Linked DNA regions of Danio rerio. The main gene of each other region encodes a partner of the protein of the gene in region 2 in a complex. Links are inferred from orthologs where the notes say so. Each region holds a gene or a part of one and is shown on either strand. Other genes may lie near its edges.

Region 1 (3,827 bases), on a different chromosome or scaffold from region 2:
CTTTGTGTATTACTCCGCCCACATACAGCCAGCAGAAAACAGACACTACAGATCTACAGTGTAAAAGATGCTTGCTCAGCTGTTTAACTGTCAGCTTATGATTTTAATCCAATGTGGAAGAAAGTAGTTCCTCATACAAAAGGGTTTTTGAGACTCTCCATGTTTGATTTTGTTTTTATATACGCAATTATGCCGTCAAACTGTTGTATAAACGCAATATCACACGAGTAGCAGTGCAATATGGCTGTATATCGGCTTAGTGGTAGGGCCACTAAGGCACGAGGCCGCGCATCTACAGCCATATCGCACTGCTACTCATGTGATATTGCTCATATATATAAACATTCTATAAATAAAAATGTGGCTATTTTTACATGTTTTTTCCAAATATCTAAAAATTGATACATTAACTTAATTTAATTATGACAATTTATTATAATCAGAAACTCTTTAATGTCTACGCATTGAAAAGAAATGCACTTTTTAGAATGCAATTATTCACTTGGCAATAGTTAGCGGTTCATTCCGCTGTAGTGACCGCTGATTAATAAAGAGACTAAGCCAAAAAGAAAATGAATGAATGAAGTTCTTACAAATAAACCTCTGACAGAGACTCCTCCCCCTCCCACTCAGCCAATCCCTGTGTGCATCACTGTATTAGCCAATCACTGACATCACTATATTATCAAGCTCAGTCCCACCCACACTCTCCGTGTCAGACTTCTCCATAATCCTCAGTAATAGTTACAAAGGTAAGATGAACTGATTATCTCCAGTGCTGTGGACACACACGCTCTACTCTGCAGTGTTTACCTGCGGGCAGCTCTCTGAAGCGTAGATACTCCATGGAGCGTGTGGTGACCAGCGGTTTCTGTGGGTAATACAGCACGTGTGCCAGCGTGTCCATCCGCACGTGGAAATTAGTGATGTACACTCCCATAGCCTGCTTCCCCATAGCAGACTGGTAGGTGTTTCTGGGAGACTGTGGACAAGAGAGAGCATCTTATAGGACGTGTATTATAGGGCTGCACAACAGATCGTGATAATAGTATATGCATATGTGCGATACATTACATTTAGGTTTTGCATTGGCTGTTTATCTAAATTTGACCAATCAGATCAGGGGCTTTACTCTCTTTAGCCCTGCCTACTGAACAGTTGCTGCTCTGCTATAGGCTGAAGGGTTCTAAAGCTGAGCCCACAGCTGAAGATAAACACTAATGGACAGAGTCGAGACAAGAAAATGACAACAGCCAATCAGATGCAAATCACTCATTCATAGTGTTTTGGACCGGTTCTGGATAGCCAACCCTCATGGGCATACGTCTACATGGGCCAGTACCTGGTTGTGATCAGGGAAGGGAATGATGGATGCGCAGACGCCCAGGATCATGGACGGGTGGATCTCACAGTGCGTGTATGTGGAGCAATAAGCCACGCCCTTCTCCTGGAGGTCATCAGGGGTCATGGCCAGCATCACAGTCTCCTCCTCCAGTGTATCGATGTACTCCACCACACCGCTGGCCACCAGATCCTGCCAACTACACACACACAATAGTTAATAGCTGATGTGTTTCCTCTTCTCCATGATGACAGCACATAATATTAGACTAGATATTCTTCACGACACTAGTGTTCAGCTTACAGTGACATGTAAAGGCTTCACTAGGGTAATTAGGGTAAAGTTAGGGTAATTAGGCAAGTCATTGTATAACAGTGGTTTGTTCTGGAGACAATCCAACACTAATATTGCTGAAGGGGCGAATAATATTGAGCTTAACATGACTTCAAAACAATTAAAATCTGCTTTTATTCTAGCCCAAATAAAACAAATCAGACTTCCTCCAGAAGGAAATGTCCTTGCTCCTCTAAATATGACTTGAGGAAAGCGCAGATGTACCTGTAGTTGTTGTACTCTCTCTCCTTGAGCTGGTCGATGTGTCGTCTCTTCAGCAGCAGCTTCTGTTTCTCCACGATCAGCAGGGGTCTGCAGATGCGGCCGGCGTCAGTGTAGATGCGGATCTCTCGCTCGCGGATATCCCTGATCATGGAGACCTGCAGACCCACAGAACAACACCACGCTCAGCTGCTGCGCACTATAGAGAGCAGGATACCATCGAGAGATCAGAGCAGCACCTCAGACACGATGATGTCCATCTGCCTCCTCAGCTTGCGCAGCGTGTTCATCAGCTGCTCGGGGTCTTTGTGGATGCCCACCCAGCAGCCGTTCACAAAGATCTTAGTGGCGCTGAAGGAATAAACACGCATGCATTACACACTGCAACAAATGCTGTTCCTACTTAAAGATTTAGTCGTTTGCCACTGGGTTTCGTCAGGTTGGCTAGTGTGTTTGTTGATTTCCACACATCGTCTCTTGTCCAGTTAACATCGAAGCTCATTGGCCAGAATGAGCAAAGTCATGGGGATTCAGACAGATATAAATATCATGCTATTGTGATTACTGCTCTGTTCTTTTGAAATGTCTAGAGAGAAAAAAATACAGTTCTTACCATCCAAATGGGACGCCACTTTTAAAACATGATTGGATAAGGGTCTTATGATAATTGATCAGTTATTTAATGAAAACACTATGCACTGATTTTCTTATCTTAAAGACAAATTTATGTTGTCGTCAAGCGATTTCTTTCGATACTTACAATTAAGAAGCTATATTACAAATCATAAAGAAAAGGAAATACCAGTACTCAAAAAAGTCCCAACTAATGTGGTACAGTATTTTATTAATATAAAAAAACAAAAAGGACAACATAAAGGACACTAAGGGTGTCACGATTTCGATTTTAAATCCAAATCGATCGAAATTTATGCTTAATTTCGATTATCGAATCAAAAACTAGAATCGTTGATGCTGCCACGCCCCCAATGTCACGCCAGCTTGGCTTGCCAAGCGGGAAAAACACGCTTGCTGAAGTGCTTGTTAAACTGTGCAGATGCAAGAGACCCGTCGGCAGGGCTTAAACATTTAGGGCTCGACAATAAGACTGCCCGATGGCCCGGGGCCAGCGTGCGAGACGCTCGGGTCAGTGTACAGTGCCGCCTTGTTGCCTGCCAGATCGACCCAGAGCTGCGTGCTGCGACTGTCTGTCATTTGTGTGCAAATACAATCTTACGGTGCTTTCACACATAGATGTTTGTTTCGGAATCTGTCTCGTTTCCCCCGTTAGTTTGTTTGGCATATATCCAGCAATTGCGCTCGCATCCGCGCCAAATCAATCAGTCCGAGATCGCCTGAATGAGACGGTCTCTGCCCTACTGAGCGGATCGATTGTAGTGAGAAAACAAAACAACGACCCAGACTATATCACAGTGTATTATGATCGTGTAATGGCCATATATACGGCTATATGAAGAGAGAATGATGAGCAGGGCGAGATGTCATTCTTACCAGTAAATGCGAAAGTGAAAGCATGCTGAAATATTACAGAGAGCTGTTTATCCAGCCTGATCTCAGTTTATCCGTCAGGAAAATTGACCAAAGTTACTATCTGATCATTTTTTCATGTTTTAATCTTATGTTGTGTTAGGCCTGTTGTTTTGTTCATTTCCGCTCTGACAGCTCAAAAGAAAGAACAACATTGATCTGCTTCGCAATCTGATGCAGTCTCGGTTCATCTGCTATATACAGGGCTGATAGTGGAAAAAATTCCTGAGCCTGAACTTTTTTTTCCTTGCTGTTTTAATTTAAACGCATTTATTTTATGTATTCGTAGTCATACTTCCGTACGTAATATAGTCATTTGACAGTACATGTCAGTCAAATTTATTGTGGCATGCTTATGTATGCCAGTAATGTCAGTGACACATGC
Region 2 (4,368 bases):
ACATTTATGATGACCGGTTTATAAAATCTACAATCTACTGCTCTTGTTTGACTAACTTTGACTAGTTTGTACATTTTCATATTTGGGTGAACAACTACTTTAAACTGTGATGTTGTACAGCCATTTTCATTTTAGGTCAACTCTCAGGTATTTCCATGAGTGCATCACACCACTTTTACTTCCTCTTTAAGACATGCTGGATATTTTTCAAATCGAATGCAGTTCACTCTTTTAATTTTCCCTTCACCACAAGGTAAAATCTTTTTACCAGTTTCAGGATCAAATATTGAAGGCTTGTATTGGTGTTGTAGAACATAAACAGGAAGGGAACCTAAACCTACACAAACTGGCAATACCACAGAGTAGATCAAATTAAATCCTATGTTTTGAGGAGACAAATGAATAAGAACACATTAAATACTTTAGTTGAATTCTTCTGTTTATTTGACACTAAGCATATTATGCATGAAGTTAAATCACAGACATCACCCGTCTGCATTCAGTATGACATATACTTTCAGTAAAACATAACTATTTGTAGGCAATGCCATCTTGCATGTAAAACAATACTTTCAAAACACAGGACAGCCTCTGTCTTTTAAACATATGTCTTTAAAAACATAAACAGTTTAAAGTTATACTTTTTTCAGATAAAAGAACTTTGCAGTCAAACTAAACCAAAGAGAATACACATCATCATCCCTGTAGGCAGTCATCGTCTCTATATTTCAGCTTCATCTGTGTTTGTGCAATTGTGCTGAAAGAATCTCCACATCCATCTGCTCCCACAGACTGAAGGGTCTTGCTGTCAAGGTTCAGATGTTTATTTCTGGGTGATGGGAAATGAATTCTGGTCCATCAGTTCTCCTACTCGCTCCTGGAGAATCTGCACAACTTCAGCTAAGATGAAAACATGCGTGTCGTCCAAATCCTGGATGATGAATTTCTTCCCCAAAGCTGACGTCTCATCCAGATATAGTAGAAACTGCTTCATAGCTGGATCACTGGGTCACATTTAAAAAAAAAAAGAGAGAGAATTATATATGAAGGTGCACTACTACTAGAGCATGACTTTTATTTTAAAGGTGCACTAAGAATAGAGGTTTGTCAAGCCTGTATTTGATGTTATTGACATCTGGCTTTTTTCAGATTGAGGTAAAGTGGGTTTTATATCCTGCATATTCAGATTTTCTCCTTATAATATAATTTCAGAAAAGTATTCTTTACAAATTCTAAATAGGAAAATCATATAAGCAGCCAATAACTATCAAAGTACAACATTGTTCACTGTCAGTTAAATCGTGCTAATGTTGTTTTGAAGTCATACTTAAATTAAATTTCAGACCCCATATTCAAATTAGCGTGGTAAACGATATAGAGAGCTTTAAAATGAACAAATATAAAAAAATAACTTTACCTCAATTATTTTCAGTTGCTTCTCAGGAAGTAAACCATCGAAATTGTGACAATAAACAGAATTAAGTTCACAAATACTGCACAATTTGAAAGTTTAACTGATCCGATACCGTGCTAAGGATGTTGCCTCGTGGTAAAGAAAAAGTTTTTAGTTACAGGTAACAGTGAATAAATCCAAAATCTAACAAAACGTGCTCAGGGGTAGCTTATATAATCGGTGCTCTTTGGGTAAGGGATTCATCAAAATGAACAGCAAAAATCCATCCAAAGCACTCGAAAAATATGGAAAAAATTTTAAAAAGCCTTTATTCACATAAAAAAACTACAGTTTTTTGCCTTTATAAAACAAAGAACTGTTCTTTTCCGAAACGCGTAGGTTTTTTAAAGATTAGCCATGTGAATAAAGACTTTTTAATATTTTCTCCACATTTTTCAAATGCTTTGAACTGATTTTTGCCGTTTAACAGTGAATAAATGTTAACCATCTGTCGACTGTAATTATATTCTCGCAAGTAACGTTTACGTTAGTGAACAGTTGTTCAGCAACATTGCTTTAGTGGCGTAAAAATGTAAAATAAAAGTACTTTTCTACTAGGGCTGCACAATATTGGAAAAAATATACATTGCAATAATTTTTATTCCGTGATATACACTGCAATATGAATACAATTTCACCAGATTAGTTAAAAAACGGTTTGTAAATAATTTATAATTTTAGACGGATTGGGATGATTCATAACATATAACAAGCAACCTACAAGCATAGATGAATTCAATAAAGAAAAAATTGCTAATTAAATAAACAGCATTTTATTGCTTTCTGAAGAGTCTAAATGTATTCAGGTACACATGAATTAAATAATCAGATGTAAAATAATACTGCATAGTCTTTGTTTTTTATAAACAAGTCAATAAAACGAATCATTATAGCAAAATGATTAATTATAATCCAGACTCAACATTGTGATCACATTGCGATATCGATGCTGAAACGATATATTGTGCAGCCCTATTTTCTACTAATCGGATATGAATCCACATTGTGTGTAAGCACATTAGATTTAACACATTTCTTAAATAAACCCACCGTTGGATTCTCGTTTAAATGTTGTATTGAGGTAAAATGACCAGTGCAGCTTTAAATGGCAGTGGTATGTAAAACTTACCATTCAACGAGAACTCCTTTCAACACGTTGACCATTTTGGACGGGGTGTGTTAACACTAACGTAACTTACTGCTGCTTCAGTAAAGGTACAGTAAAAGCTCTGTATGAGAGAAAACGAAATAGCAACAAAGCCGTCCACCATGAATGACGTTAGTCCTTACAAATATTTTACATTTTGTTTACAGCTCTTAAACCTATACTTTAAAGACAGCGTTAAAACATACACACTAACATTCTTATTGTCTTTTGCCACTTTACTTTGTTGCAGTGACTGGTGTCAGAAAACTATTTAGCGTTTAGAAACAATGGTTTTCCTCTACTCACCGACTAGTATTGGACCAGTCAACTCCACTACCCTCTGCTGGCTTGGAGCGCAGTTCAGATCCTATTTGACTGCTCTCATACCCTGACAGAAAAGTACAACACCCACCTGGAAGTTTCTCGCAATCCTGAAGACTTTGATTATTTGGGACATATCTGTTTTGAATTGCGAATACTAATCCCTTTTTATTTAACGGTTACAATAGTGTGTCATAGAGATTAGAGTACTCATTTGCATTACAATACCGCTACTGTGCATTCGTTCATTTCCCTTCGGCTTAGTACCTCTATTCATCAGGGCCCACTTCTCCAGCATATGTTTTACACAGCGGATACTCTTCCAGCTGCAACCTAACTGGGAAACATCCATTCACACTCATATACTATTCACCTATAGAGCATGTCTTTGCAGTTTGGACTGTTGGGGAAACCGGAGCACCCGGAAACCCAATGCCAACACGGGGAGGACATGCAAACTCCATACAGAAATGGCAACTTACCCATCCAGGACAAGCCACGGTGTTGCCCTGCTTTACAGTGAAAGTGTTTATTCTTGGAGAGGAAAGTTTGGATTCAAAACTTTATTCACATGACAAAGATTTGGCAAAATAAAGTACTGTGGTCAGTGAATTAGTACAAATGTATTGGCAATTACAGCAACATCAGTACTTGTGTGTCTGAGGTAGTAGAAAGAAAGCTGGTGAACCAAAAAAAACAAGGCAAGGTTTCATTAGCATGTCTATTTTGTTCAAGTAGAATAAATATTATAAATAAAACTGAGTTTAAAAATGTGCAGTGATGTAGTAAACATACTAAGTTTGATAATCCTTTTTTTTGTTATGTCTAGTTAAAATAAATGCTAACAAGTGCTCATTCAAATTACTCTGAAATGATATACAGTACAAGGCTTTGAAGGGGTAAAACATTAAAAGTTAAACAAGGATTTTACCATAATACATATTCATATGGCAAGCATAAATAATAATAACAATACAAGTGAAATGTCAGTGGTATTTCAAATGTACAGGACATTACAGTTTAGATGTCCAAAAAGCTCCAGTTGCAATTGTAAAACTTCCTTCCTTCATGGCAGTCATAGATAACACTATCTTTTAAAAAGTGATGCTTAAATCCTTAAGAAAGCAATTGAAACTGTAAAGACTTTCACTTAATTCTACGTCCCCCAAGAGCATCCTGAATAAACTGTAAAGTACGCTTATAAAGAAACGTGTCCTTCTTTTCTGGCTTGCAGATGTTGAGGTGATCAACGTCCACCTGGATGAGGTCTCCAATACCCAGATCTGAAAGAGCAAAAGAGGAAACCGTGATACCAGGTACCTAAAACTAACAATCATTATAAACCAGGGGTGTCGAACTCAATTCCCCGAGCTGCTCTGCACAGTTTAGTTCCAAACCTGCTTCAACACACTTACTTGTAGGTTTCAATCAAGCCCGAAGGACTCAA

Evidence for each region.
Region 1: gtf2h5 (region 2) and polr2b share a complex: the UniProt entries of both Homo sapiens proteins name them as parts of the TBP-based Pol II pre-initiation complex. The link is inferred for Danio rerio from reciprocal best matches to the Homo sapiens genes GTF2H5 and POLR2B.

Annotation. Positions count from the first base shown.
Region 1 is NC_133189.1:58,454,920-58,458,746, forward strand, and holds part of polr2b (DNA-directed RNA polymerase II subunit RPB2), read right to left. Parts: intron 3,637-3,827; exon of another isoform or gene 3,193-3,636; intron 2,249-3,192; coding exon 2,137-2,248; intron 2,056-2,136; coding exon 1,901-2,055; intron 1,542-1,900; coding exon 1,343-1,541; intron 983-1,342; coding exon 814-982; intron 1-813. UniProt on the Homo sapiens protein: Catalytic core component of RNA polymerase II (Pol II), a DNA-dependent RNA polymerase which synthesizes mRNA precursors and many functional non-coding RNAs using the four ribonucleoside triphosphates as substrates.
Region 2 is NC_133195.1:28,728,602-28,732,969, forward strand, and holds gtf2h5 (general transcription factor IIH subunit 5), read right to left. Parts: upstream 2,959-4,368; 5' UTR 2,841-2,958; exon of another isoform or gene 2,815-2,840; intron 2,683-2,814; 5' UTR 2,618-2,682; coding exon 2,583-2,617; intron 1,005-2,582; coding exon 824-1,004; 3' UTR 419-823; downstream 1-418. Other genes in the region: protein SERAC1, read right to left, coding at 4,068-4,204. UniProt on the Homo sapiens protein: Component of the general transcription and DNA repair factor IIH (TFIIH) core complex, which is involved in general and transcription-coupled nucleotide excision repair (NER) of damaged DNA and, when complexed to CAK, in RNA transcription by RNA polymerase II.